2 linked regions of the Danio rerio genome follow. The protein of the gene in region 1 interacts with the protein of each later gene in a pairwise test. Links are inferred from orthologs where the notes say so. Each region holds a gene or a part of one and is shown in the gene's direction. Other genes may lie near its edges. The genes, in order: atp10b and tmem30aa.

Region 1 (16,535 bases):
AGTGTTGTCCAAAATTAGTGTGTTAACGCATGTGATTCATTTTCAGTTTAAGAGTATTCCAATGTTTAACTCAGTTAACAAAGAGGAGAAGAAAATCTTATTTTCTCTTAAGAAAAGTTGCGTTTTTTGTATTCACAATGTCTTCATGACCACATCAAATTGGAGGCTTTAGAAAAAAGCGAGCTCTCTACAGTATTCTTTGAGATTAAACTGCTATATCATATTAAAATGCACCTAATTTTTGAGCATGCTGTATCAATGCTGTCAACAGTTAAGTCATTAAACAAAAAAGGCTATTAAACAACTACATATAACTGATATAAATATCTTTAAGATTGTTTGTATAAGTTGTTGTTTTTGAAAATATATAACATTTCATTTTGAGCTCTCTAAGTTATACTTCATACACTGTAAAAATATCCATAATTTTAGGATTTTTTTCGGCAGCTGGGGCCGTCAGATTACGTAGATTACGGCCATCAGATTACAGAAATTTACGATAAAATAACAGACATTAAAATACAGAAATTTACCAGAAATTTAAATTTAAGGAAAGTTCTGTAATTTAACATTTATTATTCTACTTTAAATTCCTGTAATTTAAAGGCTGTTAATTTACTTTTTTTTCGACATCCCAATTAAGGATTGTTTTAAAGTGTAGGCTTAGTGGTTAAATATTACAAAAAATCTATTTTCTGAGAGATCATTAGAAGTAAAAGTATTAGTAAATCATTTAAAATATGCATTATTTGAAGACCAAATGTGAAATTATTACAATATAAAACCATACTGTATTTGATTAATTCATTTGTTTTCAGCAATGTGAAAGAACATTTTTTCTAAGTTTGTATGGATTTTTGAGCCATGTTTGGTGTCAAAATGGATTTTAGTCAGCTACTTTATCCATTACTTTTAATGGTTATAATTAATAAATTAACAAGCTTTATTTTTGACATTGCACAGCTGCTCGCTTGGCGGTCATCAATGGTGGAGGAAATGAAGAGGAGGAGGTCACCATCTACCAGAAGACAAAGCTTCCTCCACTCTTCCCTCTGGAAGAATTACAGGACGACCACACGGGGCACAAAAATCACGCCAACACTCAAGTCGCAGCTGCCAGTCGACGCAGATCAAAAGTGGCAGCGGGAGCCCAAAGTGACATGGCCTTCAGCAGTCCTCTGGTGAGATCCTAGATCAGAAGACTATTATATCTGCGTTTCAGGGTGAAGATTGGCAATTCTAGATGATTTGTTTTGAAAGAAACGTCTCTTTCGTGCTTTATTAAAATTGGCAGTTTTTTTTGACACAACGGCAATTTAGTAGATAAACAAGAGGCTTGTTTTATTTGCCAGTTTCTTTGGCCATGTGCACACTGTAATGTGTTTTCTCCATATCTGTATACAACAGACTCTGTTCTGAAACTGTGATGATTGACAGTGTGCTGGCAATAGCAACATTCTGGAATCTCACGTACTTTGGTCAATAGCAGATAACAGAGTAATATTAAAGTGACCATTCACTGTTACATTCAGCATTTCAACTAAACAACTGTCGAAAGAGCATCGTGTTTGATTTATGTTTGGCAGGCTGTTTCACAAAATATGCTATAGAAGTGTTACCATGGGCACTTATTATAAGCAGTTTTAGATATGTTGTTTGTCTTAGCTTTTAAAGAAATTATGTTCATAGTGTTTTTAAAGTGTGGAGGTGTGTGTTGGGATACTTTTGTTCTTATTTTTTATTTACATATTTTACTGGGTATCTGCAGGGGCTTAAATTCACTGAAATATTGTCTTGTAGGACTTAAAAACTTTTAAACGGGTCTTAATTTTCCCTTGTTTATGTAAAGCAACCCAATCGATTTAACAAACATCCAATCCCCGTTAATAAAACACAATAGCTATATTTATGACTAATATTATAACAGTCTGTTGTCCATACATTTAGTTTTTAAAGAGTTTTTTTTAAAGTTATGTTGCAAAATATTTATGTAAAGAACTAGGCTCTGCTTGTTTTGACGCATTATTTAAAATATGTGGCTTAGAAATAGCTAATTGGGTTTTTTTATGATGGAGCAAGTACTTTTTTTTTTTTTTTGCTGAGCCATAACAAAATCCTTAGCATTTAGCCCTAAATAAGTCTAAAATTTCATTCGTCATGGTCTAAAAAGTCTTAAAATATCTTAAATTTGACTTGATGAAACCTGCAGAAACCCTCTTTTAGATGTATGTTGGTTTATTATGAGAATTCTTATTATGCATTCACACAGGGCTCCAACGTCAACGTTTGACCGAGGATGTGTCTGAAGTTAAGGCTGACGTGATTGTCATAGCAGCGTCAGCCACTGAAATTAGTCCGCAATTGGCTACTGTCTGAGCTGGTGTATTTGCATGAAGCGATCTAATTGACTGACACTTCTGTTGGCGATTGAAAAGTTGAGAATTTCCCAACTTCTGCAGTGAGCAACACCACTTAAGTAGCACTGACGGATCCACAATGCAATTTGGCAACAACTGGGAAGTGTTGACACTGACGCCCCGTGTGAATGGAGCATTAATGTTTGATGTTTTTCTAACAAAATCTGGCAACACATACAAGAGAAAAATTAAAACTTAAAAAAATATATAATAATAATAAATCTTTGCACACTGAAGTCTGAAATTTTTGGGTGCATTTTTTTCGTATTCAAATGCGAAAAATTCATCACTTATACAAACCTTGCACACTGAGGCCGATGCGCATTAATCAATCCAATTAAGAACTAGGCTGCATATTGTGTTTATCCAATAAATTGGAAGGAGAGTTTAACTCATTATTAAAGAGCTCTGCTGGATTATCCGGAAGTTTATTTCAGGAAATCAGTTGTATTTTGATACCACATTTACATATGTAAACAAATCCTGAAGATAGACTGGCAGTACCTACAGACATTATAGTAGATGGCGGCCGCATTGACATATCGAAGGCGTACCATTATTTCTATTGTAATGTCTATGGGCTGTACGTCAGATGTAAGGACACACACACCATGCAGCAGCAGGGTAGAGGTTTGCCAGTCACTGAATCCAGCATGTAAGGGTTCTCTAGCTGTTCACCACATTCTGTCTTTATTTTATGATAAAGTTATCTGTAGCTCAAATGACGGCATTCTGTAGCCTAATTAGATTTTTGCTTGTACGGTGACTCAACTGTCAAAACACCTCTCAAAGTGCTTTTTCGAATGCGAAAAGTGGAAAAAAATCAAACCCGGTTAGATTTTTTTTATGCTGGATGAAAATTTTGGAGGCAGTGTGTCAGTGCGATTCACACAACCTGAGGTCAAATTTATTTTTTAACGTGTGAAAATTATGGACGAAAATTTAGGATTTATTGTGCAATAACCTTAAAATTGATATGAAGTCAATAGAGCCGGATGCTAATTCATAATTCTTGACAACAAAAGGATACATTTCAAAACTCATTTTTCTAATTTCTAATTTAAAAAAATCTGAATTGTGAGTTTAAATTACAATACAATTTTAAATAATTATGTGAGATTGCAAAAAAAAAGTAAAACTGGTGAAATATAAATTGACAACTCTAAAGAAACTCTGAACTGTGAGCTATCAACTGGCAACTGTGATAAAAATGCAGTTACCTTATTTAAATGGAGTTACCTTCTTAACATTTTTATTCATTGTTGAAAACAGAACTCTGATGCGTCTCATTTTATTAAACTATTTTTTCCTTTGGATGCTAACACACTGCATATAATCTGGAAAATGCAGAAATAGGCTAGCAAATGCGCTTATCATGCCTGTAAGTGACCAAACTCTGTTGTGCATACAGAACAGGATTAATCACTAAAACATGAAGCGACAACTGAATTTTACTGCAGTCTGTACTCAATCAATTAAAAAAGTCATTTATTAGAAATGACACCATGTTTTTCCTCGTGGATTTAAACGATGAAGCTGAAGTAAATAATCCCCGACATCTTATCGTTGACCCATCTTCTTTCCTCTATTCTCCTGCATGCTCACGGTCTGCCCTGCAGATGGCCGAGCAGTTTGGTGTCAGTTATGAGCACAGCAATGCTGGCTCTGATCCGCTATGTTTCGATCGGTTGACATATGGGGCCGCTGGGGTGCATTAAACATGGGCTACTGATACTGTACAGATTGTCTCGTGTCCCGCTGCCTCTTCATGTGACGATGTGCCTTTTGTTGTCATACGATACGTGTAATTTTCCACCTATGGAAAGATACCACATGGTCTTGTTGTGCATGATGTAATCAGGCACGCGCCTAACCGCTTTTATTTCCTCAAACAGGAAACAGTGGTGGTTCCAGACAGGAAGCTAATGCTGGAAGTGGACCATCAGATGGCGAGCATTCAGACCGGGCCCTACCTGGACTTTTTTCTGGCGTTGGCCATCTGCAACACAGTGGTGGTTTCCACATTGACCGCCCAGAGACAGAGGGTGAGCTGTTTGGAGCTGAAAGGGTTGAGATGTACATTTAAAATCCAGACAAATCAGAATTGTGAGATGCAGACTCAGAATTCAGAGAAAAAAAGGGTAGATGTATAGTAAGTGCAGAATACTGCAGGAAAAAAATATGAATTGCCAGATGTTTACCCTCTGGCTTTTCTAAAAGATATATTAATGGCTAATGCTTGATGACTCAATATGTAAACAGCATGTATGAATGTATCAGTCTCTGAAATAAGGCCAGAAAAAAAGTGAATATATTTACTGCATTAAGCCATTCTCTACATTCTCTATTGATAATGGCCAGGGCTTTCAATACAAAATTATTTTTAATCATCCGGCCCACAGATTCACATTAAATTCTTATTTTTTTTATAATTTTATTATAAAATTATTATTTTATTAAGTTAGTTCACGATTTTTTTTAAATATGAAGTCAGAATTCTTAGAAAAGAGTTTGGAGCATATTTTTAGAATTCTGAAATTTTTTTTAGATTTGTGAATAAAATTCAGAATAGCAAGATGTTAATTCATCTTGTTCTGAAAGAAAATGCAACATATATTCTGAATTCAAATGTCATAATTGCAGAATATGATCTCCAAAATCTGGAGATAAATTCAAAATAATGCAAATCAGAATTTTATTTTTTTTTCTAAATATGAACTGAAGATTTTTTTTAGAGATAAATCAGTCAGAAGTCTAGAATATTTGCACACTGATGGCCCAAAGTCAGAATGTAAGCACGCTTGACACTACTGACCTTGCTGGAGCTGAAAGGGTTTGGCGACATGCTTAGCTCTCTGACTCACAGCAAAAAAAAAACTGCCCTCATGTCAAAACAATAACTATAATAGCCCACCATGTAAATTATGCCTCTTGCACAGTGAGTACCTGTGGCCGCAGTCCCGTTGCCCCGAGATATTTTATTACTGCCCCTGCATGACTAATTCAACTTTGGCTAGTGCTTCGCAGCCCGGTGGTTTGTTTTATAATTACTACATTTTAATTCTCGAGCAAGCGCCAATGGCTTACTTGGTCCAGGCAATTAGATTTTTCATCAGTCAGGCGGACTGCGTCCCCCCACACGTCTGTAATGAGTTGAGTCTGAGAGAGAAGTTTAGTGTAGCTGAGTATCCTTCACTGCTGGTCAGTGCTAATTTCCCAAATTGCACTTGAGGACCCCGAGCAAAGCACTTTGTCCAGGGTAGAAATTATATTTGGCCTCAGACCTGTAGCACTGAGACATTCAAAGACATTGGGTCAACATTAATTAAGTTGATTACCAATGGAGCATGATTGTATCACCCTGGGTCCATCACAACTTAAGAGGCAGTCACAATGAATGCGGATCCGCAGCACCTGAAGAACTAGATTATTAGCGGATTAGAGTGCCGGCCGACAGCATGGACTCAGTTTTAATATTTGCAATATTTCAGTTTTAGAATCATTAACTGAACACACAGTTTTACAGAAAATTAGATTTATCTTCTCAGCAATGTTTTTTTAGCGATGGATTCCTCATTGCTTTCTAAAATGCATTCCATCAAGCGGGGAAGCCACGGGAGGCTGGAGGGACAACATTTTACATCATGATGTTTTTTGCTTTTCAAATAGGATGAGACTCTCCCTCCACTAATGGGCTATTAACAAATATTAGACATATATAATATATTATTTTTCCTATGTCATTATAAGGTGTTTGTCAATTACATCAGATTAAACAAATAAGGCTTTAAGTTATAACTGTATAACTTATTTAGTTAAATTTTTTTCTGCTTAATTACACACACGCACACAACACACACACACACACACACACACACAAACACACGCACACACTCATATATAGTTTATGAGGACTCAACATTGGTGTAATCTATTTTAAACTGTAAAGTTTAAAATACCCCTAAACCCAAGCCTCACAGGAAAATGTGGCAAATTTTAAATGTCAAAAGACCATGTTGAGTATGATTTTTAAGCATTTCCTTGTAAAAGATCTTCATATAGTACAACTAGGTCAAACTAATGTTATACTATTTAGTGTCCTCATAGGTCACATAAACAAGTACACATACATATACCATACTGTACTGTACCATACCATCACACTTTCTATCACTCACACTGAAACTGGCCTAACACCAGATGGCACAGATCATGCCTTCAAAAAAAGTTGATTAAAAAGGAATGGATGCATCAGATGGATGAAATTATTGGCTACCATTGATGATGACAGACAACGTTTTAGGCAAGGTGAAACAAACGCCGACAAAACATGTTTTTTTTTTTTCTTAATCAGCCAATACTCTAAAACTAGAGCTAAAATAAGGAGCTTGTATACTGTTGAATGCACTTTGTTAATGGTCATGAAATTTCAAATACAATGTTGTACATTGTATGCTATTTCATATGCACCATTTTCTATGTGTTTTCCTGATTCTGTAAAATCTATTTTAGACTACATACTGTTTACGTTTGCTTGAAGTCAGCTTTATTTAAGTTATGATCCATGTGTTTTTTTCCCCTGATTGAGCAACATCTATTTTAGACTGTTCAGTTGCAAAAGTGATAATGAAATAGACTTTCATCATATTCCATAGGGTCAAAGTGTTGTGAATATGTATAAATTTTTATGACCTTTCAAAATGTATTTAATTAAAACATTTGCCAATAATATACTGTTTAAATAAAATCAATATTACAACAATTGAGAGCAGAAATGCAGTAATATAGCTATACTAATGCATCATAAAGCAGTAACAACACTGTAATAAAGCAGTATTAATGTTGTAATAAAGCAAAATAAAAATCAGTAATAGCACTAATAAAGCAGTACTACTGCTGCAATAAAGCAGTAATAAAGCAGTATTGACACTAATAAAGCAGTACTAATGCTGTAATAGAGCAGTAATAAAGCTGTAAAAATTCTGTAATAAAGCTATACTAATGCATATTAAAGCAGTTATAACACCAATAAAACGGTAATAAGCTGTAACAGAGCAGTAAAGCTGTAATGCATGTAGTAACAAAGCAATACTAATAAATAATAAAGCAGTAATAAAGTGTAAAGCAGTAATAACACTGTTTTAAGCAGTAATAACACAGCAATAAATGGAGTACTAATGCTGTAATGCAGTAATAAAGCAATACTAATGTGTAATAAAGCAGCAATAACACTAATAAAGTGGTAAAAACCCTGTAATAAAGCAGTAATAACACTGTAATAAAACAGTAGCAACTCTGTAATAGAGCAGTAATAAAGTTGTAATAATGCAGTAATAAAGCAGCAATAAAGCTGTAATAACTCTGTAATAAAGCAGTAATAACTGTAATAGAGCAGTAATAAAGCTGTAATAAATGCAGTAATAAAGCAATACTAAAGCGTAATAAAGCAGCAATAAAGCAGTAATAACACTGTAATAGAGTAGTAATAACATTGCAATAAAGCAGTAATAACACTGTAAGAGAGCAGTAGTAAAGCAGTAATAACACTGTAAAAAAACGTATAAATGCTATAATAAAACAGTAATAATCCACTAATAAGCAATACAAATGCAGTAAACAATCTAATGTGAAATAAACCAGTAACAATGTAGTAATAATGCACCAATAAAGCAATACTAATGTAGTAATAAAACAATACTAATGTGAAATTAAGTAATGACACAGTGATAAAGCTGTAATAAAGGAGGAACAAAGCTGTAATAGTGCAATAATAAAGTAAGACTAATGCATAATAAAACTTTAAATAAAGCAGTAATAACACTATAATAGAGAAGTATTAAAGCTGTAATAAAGCAGTAATGCACTAAAAAGTAATACTTATGCAGTAATAAAACAATACTAATGCAAAAAAGTGTAATAATGCAGTAATATTGCTGTAGTAATAAAGCATCATCTTTTTGCAGTAATATGCTGGTATGCTAATTTGAGGGTGACAAGTAAAAACAGACTTTTAAAAATTGATCATCTATCTCAAAAGATTGTGGGCACAAATCTTAACAGTACTGAACGTCTATAAGGTGAAAGTCATAAAGAGACCCATGTTCATTTTTGCAGATGAGAACCATCCACTTTATTCAAAGTTTTGCCTCTTGCCATCAGGCAGAAGGTATACTTGTTTTTAGCAGGGTCCAACATTTGCATTCATTTGTTCCAACTGCAGTTGGATTACTTTTTTTACTTTTTTTTTTCGTGGTCATGGTTAGTTTTATTGTTTACTGTTACTTCTATGTTGTTCGATTGTGACCCATTGCTGCTAACTGTCGGCTATTGCTGTAAACCTAATTGCCCTTTGGGCACAACAAAGACATTCAAATTCCAAGAAAACAATACTAATGTGAAATAAAGCTGTAACAAAGCAGTAATAATCCAATAATAAAGCAGCTCTATACCATTAAACAATACTAATGCAAAATAAAGCAGTAATGATGCACTAATAAAGCTGTATTAATGAAGAAACAAAGCTGTATTAGAGTATCAATAAAGCTGTAATTATGCAGTAATTAAGCATTACTAATGCAGTAATAAGGCAGATATAAAACAATATTAATGCAATAATAAAGCTGTAATAAAGCAGTAATAATGAAGTAATAAAACTGTAGTGTCAGTAACACAACTGTAATAGAGCAATAATAACGCTGTAATAATGCAGTAATAAAGCTAGTATAAAGTAGTAATAATATAGTAATGAAGCAATGATACTGCAGTAATAAAGCTATAATAGTGTAGTAACATACGTAAGAGCAGTAACAAAGCTGTAATAAAGCATTATTACTGCAGTAATAATGCTGTAATTAAGCAGTAATAAATCAGTAATAAAGTTGTAAATAAGCAGTAATAAAGTAATACTAATGCAGTTATAGGGCTGTAATAAAGCAGTAATACTGCACTAAGTATTATATACATCATCTTTAAAACAAGTAAATGTTTTCTTTTCCAGGTCAAAGGCCGTCGTAACTCCTCATACTCAGGAAGTTCGAGTCACAACATGGGACAGTGGTTCAAAATAAGCTCTCTGCAAAAGTTTTTCTCCTCTATGAGGTTTAAGAGAAACAGAGAGACAATGGCAGATCCCTTTGCTATAGATGAAGACGAGCCAGACACATTTCACATCTCCAGTGTCTCAGACTCCAGGCCGGGCCAGAAGGTCATTTCAAGTGAAGGCAAGGATAAACGCAGTCTGTCGAGGTCAGAAGAGGTGTGTTATGAGGCCCACAGTCCAGATGAGGCCGCTCTGATACACGCAGCAAAGGCTTATGGGTTCACCATGGTCGAACGCACTCCTCGTTATGTGACTGTCAAGCTGCCCAATGAAACGTTGCTGAAGTTTGAGGTGCTGGACGTCTTGACCTTCGACTCGACGCGGCGGAGGATGTCCATTATAGTACGTCATCCGCACACCAATGAAATCATCATGTACACTAAAGGGGCTGATTCAGCTGTTATGGAGAAACTGGGGAATGTTTTCTCAGGTGAGCATGAAATATTCAGTCAGATCAAATACATTAAGGCAACATACATGATTTAATAGTTTGAGGTCTCTACATTCTGAGAAATAAAGGCACACAACCTGTCAGTGGAGCAGTTTTCAAAAGTTACACTTTTGCACCTAACAGGTCCACATTGGTAGCTTAATGGTACACTTTTTATATCTTAAAGGGATACAAACGCTCTCTTATTCAAAACATATTTGAGTTTCTTCGGTTATATTTTGGAGAAATCTGGTTGCTGAGATCTACTGACTTTCATAGAAGGGAAAAAAATTGAATGAAGTCAATGGGTCCCAGCAACCAAAATATTTCAAAATATTTTAACAGAAGAAAATGACGAGATATTTTTCATTTTTGGGTGAACTATCCCTTTTATGATTACTTACAAAATACTACTACTAAAATGTACACATTTTGAGTGTAATGATGCCTTTATTGATCATGAATACCGTAAACCTGTCATGTTGTGAAATAATATTACAAAAAACACAGGTTTGTTTTATCCGAATATATTTTAAAGTGTATTTTTCCTGTTTTCAAAGCAGAATTTTCAGCATCATTACTTCAGTTTTCTGTGTCACATTATTCTTCAGAAAATCATTTTAATATGATTATTTGCTGCTTAATATTTTGTCAAAAACCATGATAGTGTTTTTTTACTACATCACACATTTATTTTATATTGGCACATTGCATTCATTTTACCACACTTTTTAAAGAATACAAATACCTGCACAATAACTCCCCTACAATATTTAAAGTGAAGTTTTTTTTTAATAATATTCAATTTTGTAAATTTTAAATGTAAATAGCTAAATTATAAAAACTATTTGTAAATAATTGTACATTTACTTGGCTAATATACTCAACATGGCAGATCTGAAAGTGATGCAGTGTGTTGCTATATACATTTCTGGAGAGCACCAAATACATTCCAGGAGCTAATTTTTTTTTGCAGTTTTTTTGCGAATCCATCAGAGGCTGCTGTGTGTGCTTTTTGAGATGTTAAATTTCTTTGGCGAGTGCCATTCCTGCCAGAGGCTGCTGTCGACTGACGACTGACTGAAGGTCTGACTGAATGACCGATCAGCTGACCCATCCCTCCCCTTCCGTAAACCCAACCAATAGTGTTTTCAAAAGCACTGATTGACCCACCCACTCACTTCCGTAAATCCAACCAAAAGTTGTAAAAAGCAATCCAAAAAAAAAACAGGTCCTCGCCTAATTTTTACCATGTTTTTTAGATTTTACCACATTCTCACCCTGTTATTTACTTGTTTATTTTATTTTTTTGGCTTCTGTTTTTGTCTTACCTGCTTTCTGGAACCGTTCTTTACCGGACTCAAACCTCGTCGTTGTGGTCAACTCCTCAATGCGTCTCAAGTCTGCCGATATACATGAAGAGCTAACTGTACAAACGGGTTTAAGCAGGAAAGCCGTCAAGGTCAGCTGGTCAGCTGAAAAGCAAGAAAAGGAACGGCTTCATACTGCACCATAGCTTTTGTTTTAAAACAAAATGCAGCCATACATAGCGCTGGCTACATAATTTTTGATCTCCAGAAATGTATATTGGGCTATGTTTTCAGAACGAGCCTATGTTGCGAGTGTCATTTGTTTTCCACAAATATGTCACCAGTTGAAAGTGCAGCGAAGCGAATTGCTGTGAGAACTCAAAAAGACCTTGACATGTACGCCAGGGATGGATTACGAACACTGTGCTTTGCCAAAAAGGTAAAGTTTTGGTTGGAAAATTATACATTAAAACCAACTATATTTGAAAACTGCTTAATAGTCTTGCTGGATTATTCTCTAAAGGTTATCAGTGAACAGGAGTTCAAGGCCTGGTTTACTAGCAGACAAGAGGCTTTGTCAGCCATCGATGAGAAAGAAGAACGCCTCATGGAGACCGCAAATGACATTGAGAACAACCTCACTCTATTGGGTATAATCTCTGCTCCCTTCATTGATATTACAATGCACTTATCCTTTACACTTTGAGTTAATATTTAATCTAGATATTTTTGCAAGCAACTTGTTCAGGTTAATTTATTTGTTCAGTACAAAATTAAAAAATAAATTCTATCTTAAGCCTAACTTTAAAAAAAAATTTAGTTAAGTGTTTTCAGGTAATAGGTTTCCGCAAATGTTTTAATTATTCTGAGTATGTCTGAACGATTACCTCCCTAAAAATGCACACATGCAGAAAAAAATTATCGTAACTTAATATTAAACACTAACAGATCTCTTCATATATTAATATTTTATAAAACACACAAATTATGAATGTCATAATCACTAAAATACACTGTAAAAATGTCTGTAAATTAGCAGTTTTCCATATTTTTCATTCATGTTTTTATTTTTCATTTTTCAGATCTTTCTTTCTAAAACTTTTGACCTTGAAAAGTTCTAAAAAGTGACTTTTATTAATATTTGTAATAGTTTAAAGTGATATATTGCCTGGGTTGGTGTTACATATTTAGGCCTGTGACAATAATCAATACATCGACTTATCACACAACACATGGACAATCATTTTTGGTGATGCAATATATATCGCCCAAACCAATACTAGCAACATTTCCGCTGATTGCACAACCTCTCTATCTCTTTTGGATGTGTCACTCTCAGTATGGTTGAAAACACTATAGGTTTTATTATACATTACTATAGCAATTGTTTTATGTGGGTACTGTATCTGAAAACTGGAATTAGATAAGGTAGCACGTATTGCAGTTACTTTTTATCTTGCACATTTTTGTTAATATTTTTTATTATTTATTTGTTAAGGATATACGCTTTCACGTTCTGATTCTAATGTCTAGTTATTAAATTGTTAATATTACTATGATTAAATGAAATATTCTTAAGAATAAAATATGAAGAGTGTTCTTGCATTGTGATGCTACTATATTGTCATTCTGTCCTTATATAATGAGTGGCATAAAATGGTCTTAAAATTACGATAATATAATTTATCACATATTTTGGTGCAATATATCATGCAACAACAAAAAAAAAAGATATTGTGATAGGTCTATGCTTAATTATAACTGAAAAACCTTGTAATAAATTGCCAGTACAGTTTCTTTTATATTACAGACTTATTTCTTTATACATTATTACTTATACATTATATTATTTAAAACTACTAAAATGTCAATAAAAGTCACTTTGTTAGAGTTTTTTTAATTTTTTTATTTTTAACATTAAAAGTCATCAGAGCAGAGATCTAGGTCCTATAATGCAACTGTAAGTAAGCAACACAAAACAGTAAACTGTTAATTAACAGATATATTTTAGTGTAACTTTCAAAGTCAATTCTATGGTAAGCATCTTCACAGTTTGGTGACATGATCTAACTTGTGTACCCACAGGGGCCACTGGCATTGAAGATCGGCTCCAAGAAAACGTCCCAGAAACAATTCAGGCTCTGAGACGGGCTGGCATGCAGGTTTGGGTGCTGACAGGAGACAAACCCGAGACGGCTGTCAACATCGCTTACTCCTGCAAGCTGCTGGACCATGAAGACCTGGTGTTCACTTTCACCACAAACAAGAAGGTATCTGATCTGGCTGATTCAATGCCAGCTAACTAATGCTTTTACAATGTTGTTCCTAACAAAGACTTGGCCTCTGTTAGTCAACCAGCTTCATCAGAAGAATTATTTAACGTATGACATTAAAGTGCCCCATAATGCTTTTCGAATGTTACCTTCATATAGGGTGAGATGTAGCTGTTTGTGATTGTGACAGGTCTAAAAAAATGGAAGAGTATAAATAAATGCAGTTGTTTGCACAGAAATGTAAAAAAATAATTATTATTTAACCTCTAAAACATCCTTTATATTTGGATAAAATATTATTTTTATTTATATTATTTTAATTTAATTATTATATAATATTAATAATTTAATAATACATGAATAATAAATTGAGAGTTGTGAACAAAACAATTGATTGTGGCGTATACTTCACAAAGAAGAAATAAAAATATTTTTTCTCACAATTTAAGTATATTTGCAATGGCAAGGTAATTGACCCACCCTTTATATAAAAAAGTATGTTTTCTTCCTTAATCTGTCATATGAAATGTAGTAATAAAGCTCTAACAAAGCTGTAAAAAGCAGTATTAATGCTACAATAAAATTTTTAAAAGTATAATAAATAATGCAGTAATAAAGCATTAGTAATGCAGTATGAACAAAAATGTGGTACTAAAGCTGTAAAAATGCAGTAACAATGGAGTAATAAAGCAAAACCAATTTAGTAATAAATCAGTAATTTTGCAGTAATAAGGCAGTAATAAAGCGATATTATGTAGTAAAAACAATAAAGCTAAAAAAGCAGTAAAAATCATAAAGTAGTATTAATGCTGTAAAAGCAATTCAATAATAAAGCTGTGCTAAAGCTGTATTAAAGCAATAATAATGCAGTAAAAGTAGTAACAAATCTGTTAAAAAGTGTAATAACGCTGTAATAAATCAGTAATAATGCAGTAATAAAGCTATAATAAAGCAATACTAATGAGGTGATAGAGCGTATAAAGCTTTACTAAAGCTGTAGTAATAATGCAGTAGTAAAGCAGTTATAAAGCGGTAATAATATAGTAGCAAGTCTGTAACAGAGCAGTAATAAAGCTGTAATGATGCAGTACTAAACAATAATGTGGAAATAAAGCTGTAATAAAGCAATAAATATACAGTAACACAGCAGTAGCAAAGCAATAATAAAGCAATACTAATTCAATAATAAAGCTGCAATTATGCAGTAATAAGGCAGTAATAAAGCAATAATTATTCAGCAAAAACTAATAAAGCTATAATAAAGCAGTAATCCATCAGTAATAATGCTATAATAAAGTAGTAATAATGCTGTTAAAGCAATTCAATAATAAAGGTCAGTTGGCATTTCTGTGTGGAGTTTGCATGTTCTCCCATGTTCACAACAAATTTCCTCTGGGTGCTCCAGTATCCCCCACAGTCAGTCCAAAAACATGCACTTTAGGTTAGTTGGGTGAGTTAAATTGACCGTGTGTGTGTGTGAATGAGAGTGTATGGGTGTTTCCCAGTGATCGGTTGCTGCTAGAAGGGCATGTGTTGCATAACACATATGCTGGATAAGTTGGCGGTTCATTCCACTGTGGTAAAGAAAATGAATGAATGAATGAAAATTACCAAATTACTGTTTACACAATAATTTTTCCAAATAACCTACATTTGAATGAATCCAAATTAAAGCATTACCAAACACCTGAGCAACAACAACACTACCACATACTCCAGGAGATTATTTTTTGCTGAAAATGTTGTCGTGTAAACAGCCCCTTATGATTCAGATATGGTAATGAGCATTTGGCTTCCAAGACATGCTATAAAGACTAGTCCAATCATCACAGACTGGAAGATCTGACCATTTAGAGCACAGTAGGCTCTCAGGAAAGATGTGTTAAAAAAACAGACCCTGGAACAAAAAAAAGAGCTGATGCTGCAATGTTACAATTATTACATTTCATGTTTTTTGACCTTGAATTAAGTTGAACCTATTTTAGCAGACCTCAAAAACAAAATTAGTAACCTTTAATTATACAATAATAAGGGTACTTTAACATAATTTAACCGGGTCATTTAACAGGAATAATCAGGTCATTAAGAGTAGCTGAGTGTTTTTCATATGTTGCAAGTGTTTTTTAGGATTTAAAACAGTGAAGCGGCACAAAAGGAAAAGGGTTAATTGGTTTATCTGGGACAACAGAGGCTTCAGTGTTGCAAGGGTTCATCCCCTCAAGAGTGAAGTTCTGCTTAGCGTGTTCAAACACATAAATGCGCTTGCAACAATTTGTCAGATATGCTGTTTTTCATTTCAAGTCTGCCTGAGTCTGTGTTTAAGAGAGCTGAGAAAAAGTGCATTCACCATTTTGAATGGCTCATATTGCTGCTCTGTAATCCCATTTTCACACTTCTGAGGAGGGCAGGAAACCGTTCTACTTTCATTTCAACATTAAATCCCTTCCTGAAGACTCACACATATTGTTTTACGCACATTTTGTAAACGCATCATCTTATGCATCTAAAACCTTCACTTTTTTTATTGCCCTAGTAGGTTTTTTTTAACCAAAGGTACAAGATTATTTGTCATCTTAGTTCATCCCTCAAATGGAAATCTGTTTGGAAATGAGGGAATCATAAGCCATTTATGTAACATGAAAAGTAAATTTAGACATAACCCAGATATATTCTGAAAGCAGTCATGTTAAGGGTGGATGCGGCTTCGTGACATGGCATGTCTCAGCTCATGAATATTAATGAGGTTGTGCTGTCATTGCTACACTTAGGTAATGTTGTGTAAGATAAGATTTGAAATGCTGACAACTTGATGTGACGTCACGCAAACATGTGCCACAAGACACCTGAGGGAAGCAGTTGATCTTCAGAAAAAAACTGAAAACATGATGGGAAATCTCTTGCTGACATCATGGCGAGACATTTTGTTCTTGTCTACAATTTTAGTCCATTATCTTTAAAATCATTTAGACTGAAAAATGGATGGGAAATAATAAATTAAATAGTAGG
Region 2 (16,618 bases), on another chromosome or scaffold:
AAACTAGAAAAGGATGAGCTGGATCTAAAAGAGGATCTTCTGAAACTCAAATCAGTCACTGTAATAATGGTTAATGAACATAAGAACATGGCAGACAGAATCAGGTCTGAAGAAAAGAAGAAAGACGAACTGAACAAACTTTACAAGGCAGAGCAGGATAAAGTTACGGAGGTTACTGAGAGGTTAATAGAGGAGAGCAAGAAACGTCTGAAACTAAAATCAGAGATGGAGTTGAAGATAGCTGCTCTTGTAAAGGAGAGGGATGAAATAAAACTACAGCATACCAAAGCTGAAGAAAAGTGTCAAGATCTGAGCTCCATGCACAGTAGCACGAACGAAGAAAGACAATCTGTCCAGAAGGTGAAAGAGCTGCAGAATGTCTTGAATATACATGAAAGCAGTGAGAATAAAGTTACGGAGCTGACAGTGGAGATTGAGCACTTGAAGAACCGTCTTCAACAGCTTGAAGCAATCGAAGGGGACCTGATTCAACCAGAGTATGACTTGCTAACAACTGACAGGGAAAAGGCACGCTTTCTCTCAAAGCAGGTACAAGAAATAAGAAGTCAGATTGCACTAAATAAGTCAATAGAGCAAGGTGAGATAGGCAGTCAAGAGGTTGAACTGAGACATAAATTGAAATTGGAGGAAGCCAAAACCAGAGACCTTCAAGCAGAAGTGCAAGCCTTGAAGGAGAAGATTCACGAGCTCATGAACAAAGAAGATGAGCTCTCCCAGCTACAGGTGGATTACTCTGTCTTGCAGCAGAGATTCCTAGAGGAGGAGGACAAGAAAAAGAGCATAAGCACTGAAATCCTTAACCTCACCAAAGAACTTGAGGTCTCCAAGCGCTACAGTCGCACTATGAGGCCAAGCGTCAAAGGAAGCCGAATGTTGGATGTTCCTATGACATCGACTGGGGTACAAACCGATTCAGTTGAAAACAGGACTTCTGACAGTGACACTCCTGCTGCATTCATCAAAAAGTCTGTCCAAGAAGAGAACCGGATCATGAGTAGTCTTCAGCAGAGGACATTGAGGAAGCCTGCGCAGAGACCAACAGTGCGTGAGCTCTACCCTCCAACGGTTAGTGACATTACTGTGAAGAAGTCTTGGATTCCTTGGATGAGGAAGAAAGACAGCAGTACTTCTGAAGTATCTTCAGATACAAGTGCACCCTCTGAGGTCAACATGTCCCTTAATCAGGTGATCCCAGATATTCAGAACAAAGAGGAAACATTGCAGATCTGCATTGATCCATCCGAGGACTCGACCAAAGAAGCTTCTGTTAAACCAACCCAAGAATTTCAGACAACCGCCATTCCAACAATTGAACGAATCAAGGAGAATCCAAAGAATCCAGAAAGAGTTCGATCTCCATTGACCTTTGCTGCCATCTCAAGAGCCAAGAGTGCAGAGATCACGAGGTCTCCCTCTACCGACAGACCCTTATCTTCAGTTTCAGTCGCATCCAACAGCAGCTCCCAGGAGTCTGTGGACATGATAACAGGCAGAGCTGTGTTCAAGGAAACTCCTGAGAAACGAATGGTCCCCACACCCATCAAGAAGTCCAATGCTAATGTTGTTACCACAGAAGACAGCAAGATTCACATCCACTTAGGATCACAGTTCAAGAAGATCATTGATCATGGCTCGGTCGTCATGGTCAAATCTATTTCTGGTTCATCCGAGGGTAAGGATGTTCCTACTGGAACTGTGCTACGCTCGCCACACAATGTGACTCCAAGCAAATCAATAACCAGCAAAGTGATGAGCAGCATCGCCATCACACAGGTCACTAAAGCACCAGCCAGACCTACACTTTCAGTGGTAGGTGCAACATTTACATATTATGGATAATCACAAAAAAATTTTCTTTGTAAAATAAAAATATTTTGTTGTCATGTTTACTGTCACGGATTTCATAATATGATTGAAATGGTAAAATCCCTAGTAAGGCTCCATCCCTCTTTACAAGTGTGTTAAATTAAATTAATGAGGTTAAACAAAGAACATAAAGTCACTGTGCTGTCAGCATGATGATGTGGGCTGGACATTTGTGTTTCACAGGTCTCTCTAGTTCTCCTGATTTAAATGAGAATAGAGCACGGGTGTCAAACTCAGTTCCTGGAGGGCAGCAGCTTTGCACAGTTTAGTTCCAACCTGACAATAGACTCAGGTAAGTAGGATCAGGTGTGTGTAATTAGGGTTGGAACTAAACTGTGCAGAGTTGCGGCCCTCCAGAAACTGAGTTTGACACCTGTGGAATAAAGCTACTTTAAAATGTACATCCACACTTGTTGTTTCTTTAAACCAATGAGTGTAAAAAATATGGACGACGCGACAGCCCCTTTTCCCATTAAACGCCTTGAGGGCAAAATGCCTGCTTGACGGGCACAAACTGTCGCAAAAGACTGCTGAAATTGGAGCCTTGACATGCGCAAAAGGACTGTCTGATGGAGCCAGAGGAGGAGCCGCGAAAATGAGCTTCCAACCAAACGCTTTATGTAAAATCAACCACGTCCCCCGAACTTCTCAGCATGCGTTTGCTGTCATATCAACACAAATGGATGTAATAACGTTAACAAATATGAGGGTTTTATATATTCAATCGCGCCAGCTCCGGGCCGCAGCGCATAACATACTCGCGGCGTCGCGGGTTGATTCCGGCTCGCATGCGGCAGCGCCGGCTCGCTCGGCCGCCGCATCTGGCTCGATTGACTCGGGCTGGAATCGGGCAGTGAGTCCAGGCATCCGGAGTATGTCCAGCAGAGGTAGTCAGTCTGAGCTCTGAGGAGTAAGTCTCCGGCAGGCGAGAATCTAGCCTGAACTGGCCCGAGTGTATTTTGCTATCTGGGTGGTTAGGCGTGTATCAGCAAACTTATAAAGCTAGAAAAAAGCCCTGACCTTAAAGAATAAACAGTGTTCCACCAGAATCATGTATGTCAGAAACTGTAGTTTACTGCTGAACTCATTTTGTCATGGTAAAATAACACAGAAATCGAATAATAACACTTCAGTCTCCTGCCGAAGCTCAGATGCGCTGCTTTGAGAAACTGTCAATCACAGCTGTCAATCACGATGACACGCCCAGCATTAAATTAATGCTAAAAACAAATTTTTTACAAAAATGAAGATCTGCAGCTATTTCAGCACTATAACCAGTGCCTTAATCCACCAGAACCATCTTTCGGGACATTTTATTGCAAGTGTAAAACATTTTTTATTTGGGCTCAAGTCTCCTTCATTAACACGGAGGAGGCGGGCTTTATGACTTGTACTGCAGCCAGCCCCCAGGGGGCGATCTAACGGCCGAGACCTTCACTCAAACGCAGGCTTGCGGCACACTTGCTTTAAACCAGTTGAAAGCGAATGATCTGAATCAGGTGTAAGGAAGACATACAAAATGTACAGGCCCAAGGACCAGAATTAAAAACCACTGTTTTAAACTATCTTTAAACTAAAATGTTGCACATCTTGAGCAAGTCTGCTGTGAACGCAACAGTTCCTGTTGTTTAAAACATGTATCGTGATTCTTTTAACATCCCTGCCAATTTGAATCGTCACATCTTTGAAGCAAGTTAGTAACTATTTGATTTTGTGGCTAATTTTGTATTAGTTCGTACAATCTCATTTAGACATTTCACTATGATTTGCTGATCCTCCAATGAGGGGTAGGCTAGGGGATGGAGATTGGGTTAGCTAATAACAAAAATCAGGGTTAGGGGTAAGGCCTGTTGGCATGCCTCCTTTTAAAATTGTATGTTTTTATATAAATAAAATCATATGAATTTGTTACGAAATAGTCTTTTTTTTTCTGACAATTCATAAAAGAACTACATTTCCTCAAGATTGGGCTGGCTAAAAAACAAAAAATAAGGGATAGAGTTAAGAATGGGGTTTGTTGACATGCCTCTTTTTAAAAATTTGTACATTTTTATATGAATAGAATTGTATGAATTCATATGAAATAACACGTTTTCTCTAGGTACGTACATTTCCTTGAAATTGGGCTGGCTAAAAAAACAAAAAGGCCTTGCATCTCATTAAATCATGCTACTTGTTTTTCTGGTTCTCAACAGCAGCCAGTCCTGGATGTCCCATCAGCACGATCAGGGTTCAGTCGTATCCCGATGTCTCGGGGCATGAAAACCGGAAAAGCTGTGCTGGGAGCTTTGGGACTCACCACAGGAGCCAAATCAGAAACAAATGCGGAGGCCATTCACACTGACCTGAAAAAATCAGCTGTTAGTAATGGAGCCTTACAGGCCGGAGGGAAGGGCTGAGACGGAGAGTACCACACAAACAAGATCCACAGATGCATTTTACTCTACTGCCAAAGAAAATTCATGATTGTGAAATTATTATGTGTGGCAGAGATTTAAGGGAGGACTTTTTTTTTTACATAGGAGAGGAAACATGAGTTGGCGGTTCATTCCGCTGTGGCGACCCCAGATTAATAAAGGGACTAAGCCGACAAGAAAATGAATGAGTTTTTCTATAGATGCTTTACAGATTATCATTATACATTGATGTATGTGTTTGTATATATATGTATTTTCCATTTTTTTTCTCTCTCTCTCTTTTTCCCATATATGCTAGTGGGTGTTTGTGTATCTATGCCGAATTTATGATGATAGTAGACTTTGCTTAAATTATTTGAGTGCCATTTGAGATGTTTAAATGAGTCATGTGACCGTAGTACTCAAAGGAGACTCTAGACGCACCTGATCACTGTTGCCCTGATGAAGGCAGACTCCTGCCGAAACGCGTAGGTTTTTGGAGATTTAGCCATGTGAATAAAGGCTTTTTAATTTTTCACTAATTTCGAGTGCCTTGGACTGATTCTTGTTGCTGTTTTGATGAATCCCTTACCCAAAGAGCACCGACCATACATTTGAGCTTACCCCAGAGCGCTTTTTGTTTGTTTTTTCAGGAAAGGAAACATGTTGCCTTGGTCTATAGATAGTTATGACACACCAGAAATTAGCATAACTTGTTTTAGTTAAATAAATGTAATAGGATTTTTCTATTGGTTTTGTATTGCCAAAAATAGGCTCTTTGACTAGTTTAAGATTCATACGTTTTGTGTTTGTGTTTTACACAGTCTTCGTAAATTAATCATGAATTTTATATCTTAAAGGCACAGTTCACCCAAAAATAAAAATTCTGCCATTTGTTCAACACCTGCTTGAGTTTCTTACTTCTGTTGAACATAAAGGAAAATATACTGAAGAAAACAGCCTTTGACTTCTATTTCTTTTCCCAGCTTTCGTTAGAATATTTTATTTTGAGTTCAACAGTAGAAACAAACTCATAAATGTTTAGAACCACTTAAGTCTGAGTAAATGAGGAGGACATTTTTATTTCTGCATTTATAAACTGCATTTGAGGCTATAAAATTAAATTCAATTAAAAAACCCAACTGACTTCAAGAAAAAATGTTATGTTGTTTATGGGTTTTAGCCTACAAAAAATACATCATCCCTGTCACATGTGTAATAATTAATATAGTCATGATCTATTAACGCTGCCTTACACAAATCAGGATTTCAAGAGTTCACACTTAGCTGATGATTAATTATACAAGCTTGTTTGGCATGCTGTCCCGGGAGAGAGCCCTGAGCTCAGGAGATCCTCGAGCCCAGGGCTCCCTCCCGTTGCAAGGCGGGAGGGGAGTTTGAGCTCAGGTAGATCTCGAGAACTCCTCTGCTGTAGTAACCAATGAACAGTAAGTGATTGCTCTTGAAGATAACTCCGTACTAGAAGCATATCTATAGTGCCAATTTAGAGTATTCAATTAACTTAATTGCATGTTTTTAGGCGGTGGGAGGAAACCGGGGAACCCGGGGAAAACCCCCGTGAGCACGGGGAGAAGTGCAAACTCCACACAGAAATGTCTGCTGGTTTGGTAAAGCCTGGAACCAGAGACATTCTTGCTGTGAGGCGACAGTGCTACGCACTGGGCCGCCGTATCACCCGTCTAAGAAGGAGGAGTAGGGGAGGAAGGGGGGACTCTTCAAAACAAAGATAGCATTGGAATGAAACCCAGGGTATTTATAGTAGTTTAGGAGTCATCTGATTGGAGTGTAGTGAATTGGATAATGCAGATCCAGCTGCTAGCAATCATAAGCACGTGATCCTCTCGAAATTTGTTTATACATAAACTTCACTTATTAACAATAAACACCAAGTTGACAAGTTAGTAGGTTAAAGGATTAGATCACCCAAAAATGAAAAAAATATTATTTATTACTCTTACTGTATGAATATATGCCATAATATTTCTTTATACCGTAATACAAGTTTTATCAGGGTTTTTTAGACTCGTTGGAAGTTTCTCAAATAGTGTTTTTGATGCCACAGCTCATGTAATTGCAGAATAATCACATTTGTAGAGTTTAGGTGTGTACACAATCAACATTGATGAGGAAAGATGTCAACACAGAGCTCATCATGGGTGAGGTGAGCTCAACAGATGAGCGCTCTGATCTCTTCTGCTGTTATTATGTTTTGAAAAAATAAATTGTTTTTGGTAAAAGACTGTATATCATGTTTATTTTAGAAATGATACCTACTAAATGATGTATTTTAATACTTTTGTTTATGATTATATTTAACGAAGGAATGTACATGATTTCAGACCAAAGGTTTTCTGTTTGTGATACTTCTGTTGTGATTCTCTCCGATAAGTACAGTCTGTTTTTATTGTTGTTTCTAAGTAAAATGATTGAGAGGGTGCTCGCTGCAGAGCCATTTAAGGAGAGCTGAGCTCCAGCGAGGGGGAGCATGAGCTGTCGCTCCTCCTCCTGTAAGCTGTTTTAATGCGTACACCAACCCCACCCCTAACCCTACCCCCAGTGACATCACTCGTAGAAGAAGTGCAAAAAAGGTGGAGCTCAAGCTTAAGCTCCCCCTCGCTGGAGCTCAGCTCTCCTCAAATGGCTCTGCAGCGAGCACCACTTGAAATGATTTGCTTTTATGTGTCAAAAATATGTTTTTTTTGTCAATTTATTATGCAATTCAAATGATGTGTATACATACATTAAATTATTATTTCTTTTAACAGTATAAGTAGGGCAAGGGGTAGCGCTATCATCTCACAGCAAGAAGGTTGCCTGTTTAAGCCTCGACTGGGTCATCATGGGTCCATATGTGTGAATGAGAACGTATGGGTGTTTCTCAGTGATGGGTTGCACCTGGAAGGGCATCCGCTGCATAAAACATATGCTGGATAAGTTGGCGGTTCATTCCACTGTGGCAACCCGTGAGTAATTAAGCCAAAGACTAAGCCCAAAAGAAATTAATGAATTTATAATATATATATATATATATATATATATGTAATATTATATATATATATATATATATATATATATATATATATATATATATATATATATATATATATATATATATACAGTATATATATATATATATATATATATATATATATATATATATATATATATATATATATATATGTATATGTGTGTATGTGAGCAATATCACACGAGTAGCAGTGCGATATGGTTGTATATCAGCACTGGTGGGAGGTGTGCCTCAATGTCCCACCAGTAACGATATACAGCCATATCGCACTGCTACAAGTGTGATATTGTGTCCAACAGTTCAACGACATAACGACGTGTATATATAAAAAAAAAATCAAACGCAGAGAGTCTCAAAAGTGTGATATGTGATATAAAGTGAGTCTCAGAATGTGCATTAAATAACATTTTTCCACGCAGACATCCCAAGTCTCCCGGAAGTTCCAGGAGTCTCCCGCAAATGCACAGAGACTCCCGGATGCCTGCAAGCGAGTTATAATCTCTTGAAAATCGCGGGTCTCCCTCCCGGTCCTCAAATACGTTGCGCACCCTTCTTACTGCATCCCTCCTTGCTCTTCAGACACATCCTGTTAAACACCACCAACACCCGATCTTCAGATATTTTTACGTAGCATAACTCCCGCAAACTCCGACAAATCATCAGTCTTGCCCGGGAATGACTATTCTCAACTTTGGATGTCTGTCCATGCCATGTCTTAAAAATATGAACATTTTTTTTTACGCCAGATTATTCAAAGGAGCTTTTGTACTAGCCTGCTGATCCTGACAGCTTGTGCTGGTAAACGGTCTTTCATCTCATTTTATGCTTGACCGATTAAATGTCTGTTTAATTTAATAAGTCTGTTTAACTGACTATATTTTAAAAACATTAAAACATCGATGCTGTAAAAGAAAAAAAACATATAAAATTGTACAAGCCACATTAACTGTTCACCAGACGTTTAATAATATGGGAAGAAACGCTCGCTGCTGTGCATATACCCCATTGTTCACCTAAAGAATAACAATGTGCGCTAGCAAAATGAGCATTGTAAATTTTGATTTCACCTGGACTTTAAATAAAAATTACATTTTGTATTTTCTCCAGCAAGATACAAAGGATGAACTACCTATTTAGTTATTGAATGCATATTAAACACGTTTAAATTAAAATACTGCTCATCTCTGCATCACTGATTTTCTATTTCAGAAACAAACAGGAACATGCAAACAACAGCAATAATAATAATAAAGACACAAATGCATACCAAACATATTAAAATACCGGTAAAAGAGCATAGCATACTGTATTAAGAGATTATCAGGGGAATAAAAACAGTTGTTTTTATTCCTTAGTCGTCATGTGATGCCGTCACAGCGTCGCTGCAAGTCTATTGGCTGCAGCACTTCCTTGTTTATCGCCTTGTCCACATCCTACTAAGCGCTACGGAAATAATCTCCATCGTTTAATGGCGCGGTCATTGTACCATCAAAACCATCGATAGCGGCGATATAACACACGCTGTACCCAACCAAGGACATACATTTGAAGTTGTGCTCGTCTTTGAAGGATTAAAGCGCGATGATGGCGTCCAGCTATAACGCGAAGGAGGAGGACGGTCATCATCCGGGATTGGTGGGCTCCGGCGGCCCGGGCGCCGTCAAGAGCAAGAAGCCGGACAACACGGCCTTTAAACAGCAGCGTTTGCCCGCCTGGCAGCCCATCCTGACAGCAGGCACCGTCCTGCCTGCCTTCTTCATGATCGGACTCATCTTCATCCCCATCGGCATCGGACTCTTCGTCACCTCCAATAACATCAAAGAGTTTGAAGTGCGCAACTTCACCATAGTACCGTCAGGGCTGTGCAGTATGACAATATAAAATGTCTATCTATTCATATTCTATCGTTAAAATAGTTAGTTCACAGCAAAATTGACAAGCAAAAATCATTATTTACTCACCCGTTGCTTGTTTTTAACCTTTGTGAGTTTCCTTCAAATGTCGAACACAAAAGAAGATAGCTCGAAGAAAGCTAAAAACCTGTAACCATTATTAAGGATAGAAGTAAAGTTTCGGATTTTCAGACATTCCCCTTAATAATATCATTTCAGAAAAGTATTCATTGCAAATTTTAAATAGGGAAATCATATTAGCAGCAAATGACTTTCAAAGTACAACATTGTTCACAGTCAAATAAACAGTGTTAATGTTGTTTTCAAGTCACACTTGCATGCTAATTCAGATCGGATATTTAAAGTAACATAGTAAACAATATATAGACTGCTAAATGAACGAATGTGTGAATATAAAACCAACTTTACCTCTATTTATTAAGGTAAGGTCTTATATTCGCACATTCGTTCAGTGACAACTTGTGACTCGCTCCCTATATTGTTTACTATCATATTTTGTATACATTAAGGGAAATTTGGTTTTATATTTACGCATTGGGACTTATTATAATTTCAGAAAGAATTCTTTGCTCTAAATAAATAAATAGTGAAATCATGTTAGCAGCCAGTGACTATCAAAAGTACATCATTGTTAACAGTCAAATAAATAGTGCTAATATTGTCTTGATGCCGTACATGCATGCAATTTCAGATCAAATATTCAAAATACCATGGTAAAAAAAAATTAGAGAATATTACACAAGTCACTGAACGAGTGTGTGAATATACAACCAACTTTACCTTAATTTTTTTATATTTGATTTAAAATCACACGTAAGTATGAGTTTCAAATAACATTAGCACTATTTGTTTGACTGAACAATGATAGAAGTAAAGTTGGTTTTATATTCACACATTCTCATTAATAATAAAGTCTCAGAAAAGTATTAATTGGAAATTGTAAATAGCAAAATCATATTAGCAGCCAGCAACCATCAAAGTACAGCATTGTTCACAGTTGATTAAATAGTGCTAATGTTGTTTTGAAGTCATGTGATTTCAGTCCGGATATTCAAAGTACCATGGTAAACAATGTATGGAGCTGTCAATGAATGAATGTGTGAATATAAAACCAACTTTACCTTTATTGAACAATGTTGCAGTTTGATAGTCACTAGCTGCTACTGTGATTTTACTATATAGAATAAGCAAATATTTCTTTTTGAAATTATATTGTTAGGGAGAAAGTATGAATGTGTGATTATAAAACCAGCGTTACCTCAATGTAACCATTGTCTTCCATAGTAGGGAAAGTGATAATGTGTATGTCAATGGTTACAGGTTTTCTTTTGATTTGTGCTCAACAGAAGAAAGAAACTCAAAGTTTTAAACGTATATAGGGTGAGTAAATGATGACAAGAATTAGCATTTTTGGGTGAACTATACCCTTAATATTGTATTGTTACAAAATTTATTGTTTAATACTTTTCATAATTTTATATAAGCGTAATATTATACGCCATTATGAGGATAAAGACAGAAACATATTTACATTTTATTTAGCAATATTTTATGCTCAGCCTATAAATCATTAGTTTATGAATTTTTTTTCTAAATTTCATTAATATTTAATTATAATTAGAAACAAATACACTGAAGTTTTAATCTGATCACATATTAATGAGTAGATTTTTGAGTAAATACTTAGGAATTTACAGAAAATTATATATATATATATATATATATATATATATATATATATATATATATATATATATATATATATATATATATATATATAGGCAAGACAGTGGCGCAGTAGGTAGTGCTGTCGCCTCACAGCAAGAGTCGCTGGGTCGCTGGTTCGACAGTTGGCGTTTCTGTGTGGAGTTTGCATGTTCTCCCTGCCTTCGCGTGGGTTTCTTCCGGGTGCTCCATTTTCCCCCACAGTCCAAAGACATGTGTTACAGGTGAATTTGGTAGGCTAAATTGTCTGTAGTGTATGAGTGTGTGTGTGGATGTTTCCCAGGGATGGGTTGCGGCTGGAAGGGCATTCGCTGCGTAAAAACTTGCTGGATAAGTTTTCGGTTCATTCTGCTGTGGCAACCCTGGATTAATAAAGGGACTAAGCCGACAAGAAAATGAATGAATGAATTATATATATATATATATATATATATATATATATATATATATGTCATATTGCACAGCCCTACAACATAAAATAGTAGCATCGTGAATAGTAGTTTGATGTTATTGTGTAACTTGTGCTGTTGTTGTTTGTGTTGTAGATCGACTACACTGGTGTCGACATGTCCAGTCCGTGTTACAACTGTGCACAGAACTACAGCTGGAACAGCACTAGTGTGTGCACTTGCACTGTTCCCTTCACACTAGACCAGCCTTTCGAGGTAAACACACTTTACACTGCTAGACCTACATCATATTTGTGTGTTTCTGTGTTTTATTTTCTAGATCTGAAGTTTTTTTTGCTGCGATGTTGCGGAAATAGAAACTGTTTCTAAATTAGAAATTTCGCAGTCGCAGATGGTTAAAATAGAAACTCCTTTTAACTTGAAAGAGACATATTTTATTGCGTGTTAGGACACTGTGTTACACTTCAGAAAATGTTTTTCTTTTTAAAAATCAAAGATCTAAAATTTAAATAAAATATAATAATCTAGAAAGCATTTTCTAGACAAGTAAAAAATTATTTTTTTTTGTTTTTAAAGAAATAAGTCAAAATAAAGTTAGTTTTTCCTTAAAACAAGCTAAATAATCTGCCAATGCGTTAAGTTAAATAATCATGTTTTTTTGGTATGAAATAAGTTTATCTTACTTAATTTATATATATATATACATATATATATATATATATATATATATATATATATATATATATATATATATATATATATATATATATATATATATATATATATATATGGTTAAAAAAAGATCACTTTAGCAGGTTTAATCAAAAAGATACTTAATGCATTGCTTAATTATCTATACATTATCTATAAATCGAACAAATGTTTTAAACAAATTAATTAGCAAAAGAATAACTGCAGGATTACAATAGAATTTTATTAGTTATTAACTCCATTTAATAAAACGGTTACAACTTTTAAACCAGTGTACTATAGATTTTACTGCAGTAAACTGGTCTATTGTTGTTTATTACACCCTATGAAGTTGTAAAAATTGTACTACAATATTCATTTGTTTCTGTTATTAGTTGTTGTATTACCAGCAACTTACTACAACAAATGAATTCAACTACTTTACTATAGTATGATTCAAAAACACTATGTATTTTACCACAGAAATTGTTTTAATGTGAGTGACCTTTTATAAAGAAAACTGAGTAGCTAAATTATGAACTATATTCAGTTGTTGTCTACAAATTACATAAAAAAAAACAGATAACACATTTATGGAAATGTAATCTGACTACATTTGGATTACATTTAGATTACTTTTGTGCTTGCAGTTTGTTGAAAAATATGTTCATTTTGTCAGCAGCAAAAGCCTTAACAGATGAATACTTCACAATACTAACAATAATATACCTCTCTGTTTGTTTATGATTATAGTAACACAGGATAATACGAAGTCACATTTTCTGAGTTTGAAAGATTTACTTATATTAAAGCACATTTAGAAATCAACATCATTGTCACTGCTACATCAGTTATTTCATTAACAAAAACCTATAAATGCATATGAAGGTATCAATGAAAAGCATAGCAAGCGTGAACTAATTTAGAGATATATTTAACTCTAGCTCCATTATGTTGTATATTTGCTTTGTCTGCTAACCGTTGGATGGTCAAACAAATCACCTAAAGTGCCATTAGCTCTCATGTATTATGCATTAGTATATTTAGAGGACGTTTTATTGATCGCACCTTTTAATATGTTAAAAATAGAATTGTTTTCCGCTCTTGTTATAACAGAGATCAGTTCAGATGATCTATAAACAACACTGAAGTAGCCTCAGTATAAAAGATTTTATGGCTGGTGACTGGATGTTATTTTAACCTCTAACTTCTTTTTTTTTTGTAGAGTAATGTTTTCATGTATTACGGACTCTCCAACTTCTATCAAAACCACAGACGTTATGTCAAATCCAGAGATGACAGTCAGCTGAATGGAGACAAAAGCTCTTTACTGGTGAGTGTTTCGACATATGCTGACTAAATGTTTGACTTTGACTTTAGTATATTATATTTAATTTTGTTTTGTGTAAACTTATAGTTTAATATTGGTGCATTTTGTGAGATCTGATGGTATGGAAATGCTTGAGGCCCAAAAGAGAAGTGGTAACAACAGCCAGTAAGTTGTTGGGAACAAAACTAAAGAGTATACTGGTAGTGTATACAAAGAAAGAGCATTACAAAAGGCTATCATGATTGTCAATGAAAGCCTTATTATATATATATTATATATATATATTTGGTGACGCGACTGACGTGACATGCTTTTCCGCTCAGAGTTTACTTTTGTTTAATTGTCGTTTGCATATTGCAAATATGTGTAATTAGTGTAAACATGGCCCTAGCAAGCATACTTACTGAATTGTTGAATCGAGTTTGTACGTTGTCTTCAAGTGTTTAAATCTTTTGTTTTACAGAATCCGAGTAAAGAGTGTGAACCGTATCGAACAAGTGACAGGAAGCCCATTGCTCCTTGCGGCGCCATTGCTAACAGTCTCTTCAACGGTAAGACTGAAGGCTCATAATACTAATAACCCAGAGGAGTAGCGGACTGGCCCGCAGGGCACGCTCCGTGGGGGGGCCCCGCGTGATTAGGGGGCCCCACGTTGTCGCGAAAATCCGGCAACCTCAATAATCAAACTCTTGAAAACAACTGTGGTCGGAACCAATGTTCACAGGTCTGTGTTCTCTGAACTCCTCTCAACCGGTGGACTACTTCATTATGATTGCCGCCGAACCGAGTCAAGCTCGGTCATAGCTCATACCATAAAGTTGACTTGATTTCAACTCTCCTCGACACTCACACAGGTGAAGACGCGCCGCGATGTTTTTCACCGCCGTTTCTCATTGAAAATGAATCACTTCTGGCTACTTTGACGCTCTCGCCGTTTTCGGTTTGTGATCGCTCCTCAGTTTGTGAAGGCTTCCCTGTGTTGTCGCCCCCCCCCCTTTCCCGCTCTTTAGTTTGTGATCGCTTCTCAGTTTGTGATCGCTCCTCAGTTTGTGAAGGCTTCCCCGCGTTGTCGCTCCACCCCGCCTTCCTTCCCTGCTCCTCAATTTGTGATTACTTCCCCGCGTTGCCCCCCAACCAACACCTCTCCAACTGGGGGCCCCGTCAGTGATCCCTGCAGGGGGGCCTCCCCATTTTGCGCTACGCCACTGTAATAACCTTAATGATACTTAGTGCCTAATATGGCTTTGAATATTACAAAGGCATGTTGCTGTTTTAAATGCTTGATAATAATTTTCTTTCAATAGTTTAATTGTTCATTTAGACTATTTAAATAATATTTCCTCTGTGCTAAACCAATATTGTTATTTTAATAGTTGTTTATTCTTTGTGTGAATTAGATATGCACCAAAACCATTTTTTAAGATACTTTTTTTCTTTTACTCGCTGGTACTGATGCCTTTTTTGGGACGTGGCAGTTTTCGAAGTAATGACATTGTAAAACAAATTTTTTTTCTTTGTAATTACGAAAATCTGTAACTCCTTAACACAAGTTTTTTTTTATTTTTATTAATTATCATCCCACTTTATATTAAGTGTACTTAACTATTATGTACTTGCATCAAAAAACTAAATACAATGTACTTACTGGGTTTATAATGTATTTTGAGAACACTTGTGGTGCTTTTCAGTTGGGATAGAGGTTGGGTTATGGGCAGGTTTGGTGGTGTGGGTAGGTTTAAGGGTGGGTTAAGGTGTAAAGGATTGTCAACAGTGTATTAACAAATGTAATTACAAAAGTTAATTACAGATGTAATTACATACATGTATTTGATCAAACATGTACACAGTAAATACATGCATTTACACAATAAGTACATTGTAACAAACTATTAAATCCTGTGTAAGTACATATTAGTTAAGGCCACTATTAAAAAGAGACCTTAATTTTTATTAATTATTAATTAATTCATTCATTTTCCTTTCGGCTTAGTCCCTTTATTAATCAAGGGTCACCTTAATGAGGTGGACTCGGCTCAATTGAAACAAACCCTGGGTCAGATTGATTGTAGTGAGAAAGCAATACGACTCAATAAGCCAACGAACCAGGCTATATCACAGTGTATTATGCATATGTAAAAGCCATATATATGGCTACATGAAGGGAGAATTATGAGTAGGGTGGGATGTCATTCCTACCAATAACATGGTGTCATGTCGAATACGAAAGTGAAAGCATGCTGAAATATTACCGAGTGCTGTTTATTCGTTTGGAAAATTTACAGAATTAAAGAACCATCTGACATTTTTCCCATATTTTAGTCTCATAATATTTTGTATTAGGCCGATTGTTTTGTTCATTTCCAACATTTCTTACAGTGAAGGCTAACAATTGCACCTTCAACCGGCGGCAGTTACTTTTGCACTTATGTGTACTTTTGCATGCTGTTTAAATGAAGAATTAGCACAAGTTTATTGAGAATTTGAAGGTCGGTCATGCTGCTCATTGTAAAAGTATATAAATAAACCATTTAATGTCTGTCAGAAGCTCGGATCAGTAGACCCTATAAACAAAGCTAATGCTAACATGCTCTAGCGGCTTTCTATGAGCCTCAAAATAAATATTCACTGCTTACTCAGGCCTTAAGTCTGTTTGTTTGCTCTGTGTGATTCCTTTATGTTTGTAGATACACTGGAGCTGTTTTATATCCATCCAAACGGAAGCAAAATCGGCATTCATCTGGTGAAGACAGGCATTGCGTGGTGGACTGACAAACACGTCAAGTTCAGAAACCCAGGAGGAAGCAACAACAACCTCTCCGTTGTTTTCCAAGGTACAACTCAGAAGTCTACTCGATCATTCGGATGTGTTTAGCAGGGCCTTTCAGCTCATGTTTCACATTTCTTTTTGATTAGATTTTTTTCAGATTTCAAGTAAAGATGTTTTATTTTTATGATTTATTTAAAATTTTAGTAGGTTTTCTATTTATTTTTTTTATATGAATACTTTCCGGATGCACTGTACATCAACACATCTCTCTTTTTTTACCCTGAGTCTGTAATGTTTGTCCTCACAGACACCAGCAAACCTGTAAACTGGCGTAAGGCTGTCTACGAGCTGGACCCGGCTGATCCCGAGAACAACGGTTTCGTCAACGAGGACTTGATCGTGTGGATGAGAACCGCTGCTCTTCCCACGTTCAGGAAACTGTACCGCATCA

The links.
Region 2: the proteins of atp10b (region 1) and tmem30aa interact in a protein complementation assay, tested with the Homo sapiens proteins (2 studies listed by IntAct, with this or other methods). The link is inferred for Danio rerio from reciprocal best matches to the Homo sapiens genes ATP10B and TMEM30A.

What each region holds. Positions count from the first base shown.
Region 1 is NC_133189.1:26,618,048-26,634,582, forward strand, and holds part of atp10b (phospholipid-transporting ATPase VB), read left to right. Parts: intron 1-963; coding exon 964-1,181; intron 1,182-4,312; coding exon 4,313-4,462; intron 4,463-9,414; coding exon 9,415-9,946; intron 9,947-11,600; coding exon 11,601-11,695; intron 11,696-11,779; coding exon 11,780-11,906; intron 11,907-13,341; coding exon 13,342-13,526; intron 13,527-16,535. UniProt on the Homo sapiens protein: Catalytic component of a P4-ATPase flippase complex, which catalyzes the hydrolysis of ATP coupled to the transport of glucosylceramide (GlcCer) from the outer to the inner leaflet of lysosome membranes.
Region 2 is NC_133192.1:56,062,071-56,078,688, reverse strand, and holds the start of tmem30aa (transmembrane protein 30Aa), read left to right. Parts: upstream 1-8,727; 5' UTR 8,728-8,913; coding exon 8,914-9,162; intron 9,163-11,515; coding exon 11,516-11,635; intron 11,636-13,295; coding exon 13,296-13,403; intron 13,404-13,863; coding exon 13,864-13,951; exon of another isoform or gene 13,952-14,254; intron 14,255-14,446; exon of another isoform or gene 14,447-16,084; coding exon 16,085-16,231; intron 16,232-16,474; coding exon 16,475-16,618. Other genes in the region: filip1a (filamin A interacting protein 1a), read left to right, coding at 1-1,830, 4,083-4,286. UniProt on the Homo sapiens protein: Accessory component of a P4-ATPase flippase complex which catalyzes the hydrolysis of ATP coupled to the transport of aminophospholipids from the outer to the inner leaflet of various membranes and ensures the maintenance of asymmetric distribution of phospholipids.